2 linked regions of the Coturnix japonica genome follow. The main gene of each other region encodes a partner of the protein of the gene in region 2 in a complex. Links are inferred from orthologs where the notes say so. Each region holds a gene or a part of one and is shown on either strand. Other genes may lie near its edges. The genes, in order: CIAO1 and MMS19.

Region 1 (4,312 bases), on a different chromosome or scaffold from region 2:
ACAGCACTGAGTGATCCAATCAGTACAGCACCGAGAGCACGCTGTAACCAACACACAGCACTGAGTGGATCAACACACAGCACTGAGGATCCAAGCACAGCAGCTGAGTGATTCCAACACACAGGCACTGAGTGATCCAACACAGCACTGAGTGATCCAACACACAGCACTGAGTGATCCAACACAGCACTGAGTGAATACAACACACCACAGCACTGAATGGATCAACACAGCACCTGAGTGGAATATCAACACACGGGCCATGCAAATGAGTGATACCACACAGGCACCTGGAATAGGATCACAACACAGCACTGAGATAGATACCAACACAACAGCATGAGTGATCCAACACGAGCATGAGTTGATGGCCAATGTACAGCACTGGTGATTCAACACTGAGTGATCCAACACACAGCACTGAGTGATCCAACACAGCACTGAGTGATCCAACACAGCACTGAGTGATCCAAGTCCCAGCAAGGAGCTGTGTTAGGAGCTCACCCTCCTCATTGCCCGGCTTGTAGCACTGCCAGATGCGCACGGTCTTGTCGTCGCTGCAGGACGCCAGGCGCTGCCCGCTGCCATCGAACGCGATGCTCCACACGGTGGATTCGTGACCCTCCAACGTGGCACAACAAACCCAGTCGTCCTCCTCCTCGTGGTACAGCTTCACCGTGTCGTCGTAGCTGGCTGAAGCCAGGAGCTGGGACAGGAATGGGATCAACACCCCAAACCCACAGGGATTGCAAAGCCCTGCCCCCATAGAGGACCATTCAAACCCCATCTCTTGGGAGCACTGACTCCTTATGGCCCTGTGGCTCAGATCCTTTCCCATCACACACAGTGATGCCCGCAGGTCCCGCTGCCCTTGAGCTGGGCTCTCACCTCCTGGTTGGGATGCCACACCACGTGCTTGACGTCCTGAGTGTGAGAGTTGAGGACGCTGACACACTCGTATTCCTCCTCTTCATCCACTGCGGGGAAAAACACCTTCCATGAGGGAATGGGGCCAGAAGGGACAGTATTGGGGTCAGAAGGGGCAACAATGGGGCCAGAAGGGACACAGTGGGGATGGAAGGGGCAGCAATGGGGCCAGAAGGGGCAGTATAGGGGGCAGAAGGGACAGCAATGGGGCCACAAGGGGCAGTATAGGGGGCAGAAGGGGCAGCAATGGGGCCAGAAGGGACAGTATAGGGGGCAGAAGGGGCAGCAATGGGGCCAGAAGGGACAGTATAGGGGGCAGAAGGGGCAACAATGGGGCCAGAAGGGACACAGTGGGGATGGAAGGGGCAGCAATGGGGCCAGAAGGGGCAGTATAGGGGGCAGAAGGGNGGGGCAGAAGGGGCAACAATGGGGCCAGAAGGGACACAGTGGGGATGGAAGGGGCAGCAATGGGGCCAGAAGGGGCAGTATAGGGGGCAGAAGGGGCAACAATGGGGCCAGAAGGGGCAGTATAGGGGGCAGAAGGGGCAGCAATGGGGCCAGAAGGGGCAGTATTGAGGACAGCAGGGACACAGTGGGGCCGATGCCCTTGGGGTCCCCTCATTCCCCCCCTCACCTTCCCAGACCCACACGCTCTTGTCCCGGCTGCACGTTGCCAGCAGGCTGCCCGACGGCGCCCAGGCCACCGACTTCACCTCGTTTTCGTGTCCTTCCAATGTGGTGACGCACTGTGGGGGGCACAAGGAGCTGCAGGGCGCCACTATGGGGCTGGGTTATGGGGCTGGGTTATGGGGCTGGGTTATGGGGCTGGGTTATGGGGCTGGGTTATGGGGCTGGGTTATGGGGCTGGTTATGGGGGTTGCTGGGTTAGTGGGCTGGGTTGTGGGCTTGGTTGTGGGGGTGGGCTGGTTATGGGGTGGTTGTGGGGCTGGGTATGGGCTGGGTTATGGGCTGGTTATGGGGCTGTGTTATGGGGCTGTGGGGGGGGTCTGACCTCGAAGCCGTCCTGGCAGCGCTTCCAGATGCACGTGGTGGCGTCGAAGCTGGCAGAGGCCAAATAGGAGCCACAGGGCGACCAGGCCACTCTCCTCACTGTGCGTTGGTGGCCATCAGACAGCACAGCACGGCAAGCCTCCAGCTGACCCTAATAGGGGGGGGGTGGATGGGGGACCCCAATAGGAGCCCAGCCCCCACCCCACCCACGTGTATTAGGGCCATTAAGCCCGCCCCCTCCTTTAAGCCCCTCCCACGCTCCTCTGGCCCCGCCCTTTTTACCCCACCCTCTCGGCTCCGCCTCCTATTGGCCACACCCTCCCTTAGCCCCGCCCCTTCCTTAAGCCCCTCCCACCACCATCTGGCCCCGCCCACATTCACTATGTCTCCGCCTCTACTCGTCAGCCATTGGCTGCGCCCTCTCTTAGCCCCGCCCCCTCCTTTAAGCCCCGCCCACGACCCTCTTAGCCCCGCCCCCTTTCACCGTGTTCCCGCCCCTACTCGTCACCCATTGGCCGCTCCCTCTCATAGCCCCGCCCCCATTCATTGTCCCCGCCCCTACTCATCAGCCATTGGCTGGGGCCTCCCTTAGCCCCGCCTCTACTCGTCAGCCATTGGCTGCGCCCTCTCTTAGCCCCGCCCCCACCCTTGAGGCCCCGCCCCTTCCTTCCGCCCCGTTATCCCCCTCGTTCCCGTTATCCCTCGGTACCGTCCCGCCCCCACACTCTCACGGCCCGGTCCCCGCCGCAGGACGCGATGAGGTTCCCGTTTGGGCTCCACGCCAGGAACCAGCACCGCGCCTCGGGATGCGCCGCCACGCGGCTCTGCAGCACCAGCGCCTCCTTCATCGCGTCGCACCGTAATGACGTCACACCGGAAGCGGAAGCGCCGCCATGTTGCCGCCCTAGTGACGTCACCGCCGCGCTCGCCGGAAGCGGAAGCGGAGCCCGCGGCCTGAGGCGGTGCCGGCTGTTCGGGCCGCAGCCATGTACAACCCGGCCGGGCCCGGGCTGCACGGCAGGGGGAGGCGGCGGGGAACGGCGGGAGGCGGCGGGGGGGGGGCGCTGCCCAAACAACCGGAGCGGAGCCTGGCGTCGGCGCTGCCCGGGGCTCTGTCCATCACCGCGCTCTGCACCGCGCTGGCCGAACCCGCCTGGCTCCGGATCCACGGCGGGACCTGCGGGCGGCAGGAGCTGGGGGTGGCCGATGTGATGGGGACCGTCAGGACCGAGCTGCTGAGGGGTGAGAAACGGGAGAGCGGGGAGAGTGGGGCGGTATAGGGTCCTTATGGGGCTTATAGGGTCCTTATGGGGTTATGGGGTCCTTATGGGGTCCTTATGGGGTCCCTATGGGGCTCGCTATGGGCCCGCTATGGGGTCGCTATGGGGCCGCTATGGGGCCGCTATGGGTTCGCTATAGGGCTCGGTGTGGGGTCCTTATTGGATCGGTATGGGATCGGTATGGGGCTTATTATGGGGTCCTTATGGGGTCAGTATTGGGTCGTTATGGGATCGGTATGTGGCTCGGTATGGGGCTCGCTATGGGGTCGTTATGGGGGTCCGTATGGGGTCGGTCTGGGGCTCCTATGGGGCTCAGTATGGGGTCCTTATGGGGCTCAGTATGGGGCCGGTATGGGATCGGTATGGGGCGTATTATGGGCTCGGTATGGGAATTGGTATGGAGCTGATGGGGCTCGGTATGGGGTTGTTATGGGGTCGGTATGGGGTCCTTATGGGGTTCTTATGGGGTCATTATGGGGTCTTATGGGGTCCTTATGGGGTCGCTATGGGGTCCTTATGGGATAGGTATGAGGCCCTTATGGAGCTCGGTATGGGTATCGCTATGGGGCTCGCTATGGGGTCCTTATGGGGCTCGTTACGGGTCTCATTATGAGTCTCCTTATAGGGTCTTTATGGGGTCTTTATGGGTCTATGGGGTTTTTATGGGGTTTTATAGGGTCGGTATGGGGTTTTTATGGGGTCACTATGGGGTCATTATGGGGTCCTTATGGGGCTCGATATGGGCTTGTTATGGAGTCGTTATGGGGCTCGGTCTGGGGTTGTTATAAGGCTGATGGAGTCCTTATTGGTTGTTATAGGGCCGCTATGGGGCTCCTATGGGTCATTATGGGGCTGAGGTTTGGGAGCAGCCACTTTGTGCTTCCTGCCCCTTCCATCCTTATGGCCCAACAACAACAGCCCCATCCGTGCCCTATTCCCCACCCAGCCGTTCCTATGGCCCCATATATGGGGTCAATGGGGTGACACCCCCCCCAGGAAGAGCATTCCACCCCATTGCCGTGTCCCGGTGCTAATTACCCCCCATTAAAGCTGGGGGCTGTGAGTCCATTGCAGCCCTTCCTGCTGTGGGTTGG
Region 2 (4,600 bases):
GCTGTCACCTTTATTGACTGAGAGGTGGCTGTGCCCGTGGCCCCACACAGCAGCAGCCAGGAGCAGGCACAGGATGGAAGAGTAGGTAACACTGCCAGGAAACGAGGTCCTTTAGTGTTAGGGATGGACACATCTGAGCCAGGCAGCACAGCTCCCAGCCGGCACCATCCCCCAGCTCCACTTGCAGGAAAGGGAAGAGGGCTGGTGCTCAGCAAGGAAGAGGAATCCAGGGGCTGCAGAGAGGCACCCAAGCTGACGGTGTGGCAGGGAGCCCAGTCTGCAGGAGCAGGGACAGGCTGTGGCCCAACCGCCACCCCACAGCCACCGGCAGCCCTGGGCAGGTAGGCAGGAGCTAAGCCTCTTCTATTTATTGCTGCCACCCAGCCTGGACCCAGCCTCTAATCATCTTGTGTTGCTCTATTCCCAGCCGTTGTGCAACTCCACACCCTCGGGGGACACGGGGGGTCAGGAGTTGCCCAGCTGTGCTCTCACTCAAACCCAACATGCCGTACCTGCTGCTGCCCAGCTCAGCTCCCTGCAGGGCTGCTCCGGACAGACAACTTCCAGCACCCTGCAGCCCGCAGGGTCAGCCCTCCTATGAGCCACCTATGAGCCGGAGCAGCTCAGAGCCCCCAGCCTCGGGTTGCAGTGCTGGGGGAAGGAGGGGACACGAGGACAGCGAGCAGCACAGCGCACAGATCCGAGCCCTGCTCTGTGTGCCCAGCAGCATCCTGCAGCACCGCCCGCTCCGTGACAGCCGGGCACCGGTCAGTGGGAAAACCTCTCCCGTGAGAGGCCCACGCCGCGGGGTCCCCGCGCCCGGTGCTTCCTGCTCCTCCCCGTGTGGGTGCAGCGGGCGGGCAGTGACTCACCGTGCCGCCCGCCCGGCGCTTGGCGGGGCCCGTTGGGGAACGATGGGGCGCAACGGGGCGAATTGCAGCAGCGGGAGCGCTGCCCCCAGCCCGGCCGGTCCGAGCGAGCGGTGCTGGGGACGGGCCGGGGACACGAGGGGCTGGCGGGGCACCACGAGCCAATCCCGGCACGGGCACCGCGGCACTACGGGGTCACGCCGGGGATGCGCGGCGGCTCGAACCGGGAGCCCGGCACGGCACGGCACGGTACGGCACGGCACCGACGGGGCGCACGGGGAACGAGCGGGGGAATCCCCGGCACAGCGAAGAGCCGGGACGACCCGGGACCGACCCCAACCGGGCGGCAGGAAGAGAACGGCCGGCGGTGCCGTGCGGACAGCTCCAGCACCGGGCACGCCGCGACCGGACGCCCCGCGCCCTGCGGTGCCGCTCACCTGCTCTCTTGCGGGGGCTCCCCGCTGAGGGCCGCTCCCGGCGCTGCCGCCCCACGCAGCCGCCCATGGCCGGGGCTTCACCGACGGCGGCGGCGGCGCGGGCGGCTCGGCATGTGTCCGGCCGGGCTCCACGCCGCGCTGCACCGCGGGCTCCGGCGTCGTCAAACCGCCCCGCCCGACTCCGACCGCCCGAGCCGCCCCGCCGCCAAAGCCGGCCCTGGGCGCGCCCCGCCCCCCACGTGCGCATGTGACCGCCCCGTCGCGGCCGCGGCCCCGCGGGGAGCGCCGCCCACGTGCGCGCGTCCGTCCTGCCCGCGGCTTTTGTCCCTCCCGCGCCGCCGTACAGCGCCGTGCCGCCCCCACCAATACCGGCCGGGGGGGCGAGGTGAGGAGGGGGCGCCGGGGTCGCGCATGTGCCGTGGGCTCATGCCTCGGGGCTGCGCGTGCGCACGGCGGGAGCGCGGCCGGTGTGTGCCGGGGAACGGGCCGACATGGCGGCGGGAGCGGAGGAGCTCGGTGCTGCCGTGCGGGACTGGGTGAGCGGGCAGCACGACGGGCGCAACGCGGAGCTGGCCGCAGGTACCGGGCGGGGCGGGGCGGGGTGGGGTGCGGGGCTGCTGGGCCACGTGTCCGCCAGGTCCCACGAGCCGCACGGCGCTGTGACAGACACACGTGGGATGACGGGGGGATGCCGGCATCGTGCGGCCTCCGTGACCTGTATGGAGTCACGGCTGGAAGCGTTACGGTACAGCACGTAGCGCTGAGGGAAGGACAGGGTTTATTCTGAGCTCGGCGCCTTCTGTGTGACTGTGGGAAGAAACACGTTGAACGAGCTTCCTTTGTGCGCTGCATTCAATGTGCCCTGACAGGTGGGAGGCAGCTCGGTGCTGTCGCAGCTGGGGCTGCGTAAGGCAGCGTGTGTCAGAGGGGCTGAGTGTGCTCCTGTTAAAACACCGGGAGACGAATGACGCCGTTAGAGAAATCCATTGTGCCCGCTGGGAATTGCTGCACTCCCATTGTAAGGGAGCTGGGGAAACGTAAGGAGAAGAAAGTGTATGGAAATGATATATGAAATGTGGCACGTGAAAGGGAGATGTCAGGGAAGGCTGATGGGTTTCAAATAAGAATATAACAAAGGGTAACTTGCTCGCTTCTGTTTAGCCTCACACTCTAGGAACACCACCAGGGCAGGGCAGCCCTTCTGGTAAAGGAGCACACTGGGATACAAGGTGCACAGCTGGAGCTGAGCTCGCAGTTCAGCTGTGCTGCGTGCTGCTGCTGCTCTGCATGCTGCTGGGCTCGTGTGGTTCGCTCATGCACAGTGAAATCGAGCAGACCTTTGAGACCAGAGCGAGGGGGTTCATAGCCACAAGAACACGGGTGGCTGATTGTGGCCAGATCGTTACTCTTTAGCTCTTTCCTATTGGTGAGGTCACCGGCACCTTTGTCTAAATATTGCATTCAGGCTTTGAAAGTGTAGAGCAGGTCAGTGCTCACCTGTGGGACTGGTGTGTCTCTGACCTTTTGCATCATGCAGAGGTCAGAGTCATGAGGATGCAGGAGCTGTGCTCTGGAATAAGGTGGTGGGATCCTAGGTGTGAAGGAGCACTCTGCTTTGTGCTCAAGCACAGTGCCTGCTTGCTACCATGCTTCTGTTTTCCTGCGAGAGGCTTTGCCAGCAGCTCAGTCTCACTTGAGGCACCTCTTCTTCAGCCTGTGGCTGTCCATCCTGCGGCCAGCTGGACTCTCCTTTTTCCTCATGGCTCTCCATGCCGTGCCTCCTATCCTCTTTGTGCCAAGTGGGACTGGAAGTGCTGTCTTTGGAGCCAGGGCTGCTTGCTAACAGAAATTGTGGGCATTTCTTCTTCCATCCACAGAAACTACTCTCCAATGAACAGCACAACTTAATACTGGAATTAACTGCTTTAGAAAGAGACAGTAAATGCTGGCAATAGCAGGATACTCCAGCTGAGGCAAGGCCTGGGACAGTCCCAAATGAAACCTCTGGGCTTTCTGATAGGTGGGTGCCCCACCAATTGTGTAGACAAGCCCTCAGCAGGGCAGAGAAATGGTGAATCCTGGGGACCAAAGGCACGCAGAGCTGTTTTAGTGGGTGAGTGTTGCACTGACTGCAGGGGTAGGAGCCCCTCTGCCGTGGCTTTTGAAGGGTGCAGTAGATTCTCACCAAAGCCTCCTAGGGAGTGACTCTTCCCCCAGTTCAGTTGCAGGAGGTAAGTGAAGCAACCTGGCTGGGGTGCCTGAGTCAGAGCTGCAAATACACTCCAGCAGTCCCAGCACTGTGTCGTACAGTAACCACAAAACCATATTTCTCTGTGCTTTCTGCCTTGGAGGGCATTTGTGCAGGTGTTGCTCAGAGTAGAGGTGATGGAAGCTGAGTGCTTGTTAATGTCTGGGCTGTTTGGCTCAACCACTGCCTTGTTAAGAGCTTGGTTTCTTTTGTCCCCTAGGGAGCATCGGGAGAGCTGCTCTCTGCCTCAATAACTGTCTGGGAGTCTCTTTGGTTCACTCTCTTTATCTCTTTTCTCCAGGGGTGAAAGATGGAAGCTGGACTATTCTGCAGCTTGTGGAAGCCCTGGGGTAAGGAAAGCTGTGTACACATTATACATCGTGTAAGGGCTCTGTGGGGGAGATTCCCATAGTAAGGGGCAGTGAGAAGGAAAAGTGTGTGCTGACATCTCGTCCTGTGCAAACTGCCTTCAGCACCACCGGGCACACAGACACACCACAAGTTTGTTGCCTGCTCACTGCACGTTGCCCTCTCAGGGCATGGGAGCCCTCCAGGAAAGGGCAGGAGGGGCCTGTAAATCTCTCCTGGGACTGAGGAAAGGTGTTGCAGCATGCAGCAAGCCGCAGAGCACATTGCAGCTGAGACTCCCTAGCAGGAGCTGTCTGACCACACAGTTGCCCTTCTCCATGTCATGAGTTGACTGCCGCTCAGCTTTTAGTTCTGTCTCTGAGCTGTCACGGGCTGGGATTGGGGAACCTCATTTCTTTCCAGCTTTGTCTCCTTGTAGCAGGCTTTGCCCTTTTTCATCTCTTGTGATCTTGGGAGCCTGACTTTTGGTTGCGGAGCATGGTGCAAGAGCAATTTCCTTGGTCTGACTTGAGAAGAGGCCTCTTACCTTGGCTGTGCTGCTGTGTGAGACCAGGTGCTCGTGAGCAGCATGGTCAGGGGAGCAGGAGTCATCTCCTACCCTGTGTGCCAGTCAGGCAGCACCATGCTGCTGTCCCCCTGCCTGAAGAGCAGCTCCGTTTCATGCCTATAATGTGTTT

What was found.
Region 1: MMS19 (region 2) and CIAO1 share a complex: the UniProt entries of both Homo sapiens proteins name them as parts of the MMXD complex. The link is inferred for Coturnix japonica from reciprocal best matches to the Homo sapiens genes MMS19 and CIAO1.

Annotation. Positions count from the first base shown.
Region 1 is NC_029537.1:1,034,375-1,038,686, reverse strand, and holds the start of CIAO1 (probable cytosolic iron-sulfur protein assembly protein CIAO1), read right to left. Parts: upstream 2,812-4,312; 5' UTR 2,787-2,811; coding exon 2,637-2,786; intron 2,090-2,636; coding exon 1,940-2,089; intron 1,674-1,939; coding exon 1,562-1,673; intron 978-1,561; coding exon 889-977; intron 707-888; coding exon 505-706; intron 1-504. Other genes in the region: TMEM127 (transmembrane protein 127), read left to right, coding at 2,925-3,180. UniProt on the Homo sapiens protein: Key component of the cytosolic iron-sulfur protein assembly (CIA) complex, a multiprotein complex that mediates the incorporation of iron-sulfur cluster into extramitochondrial Fe/S proteins.
Region 2 is NC_029521.1:19,483,188-19,487,787, forward strand, and holds the start of MMS19 (MMS19 nucleotide excision repair protein homolog), read left to right. Parts: upstream 1-1,711; 5' UTR 1,712-1,797; coding exon 1,798-1,885; intron 1,886-3,855; coding exon 3,856-3,904; intron 3,905-4,600. Other genes in the region: UBTD1 (ubiquitin domain-containing protein 1), read right to left, coding at 1,307-1,553. UniProt on the Homo sapiens protein: Key component of the cytosolic iron-sulfur protein assembly (CIA) complex, a multiprotein complex that mediates the incorporation of iron-sulfur cluster into apoproteins specifically involved in DNA metabolism and genomic integrity.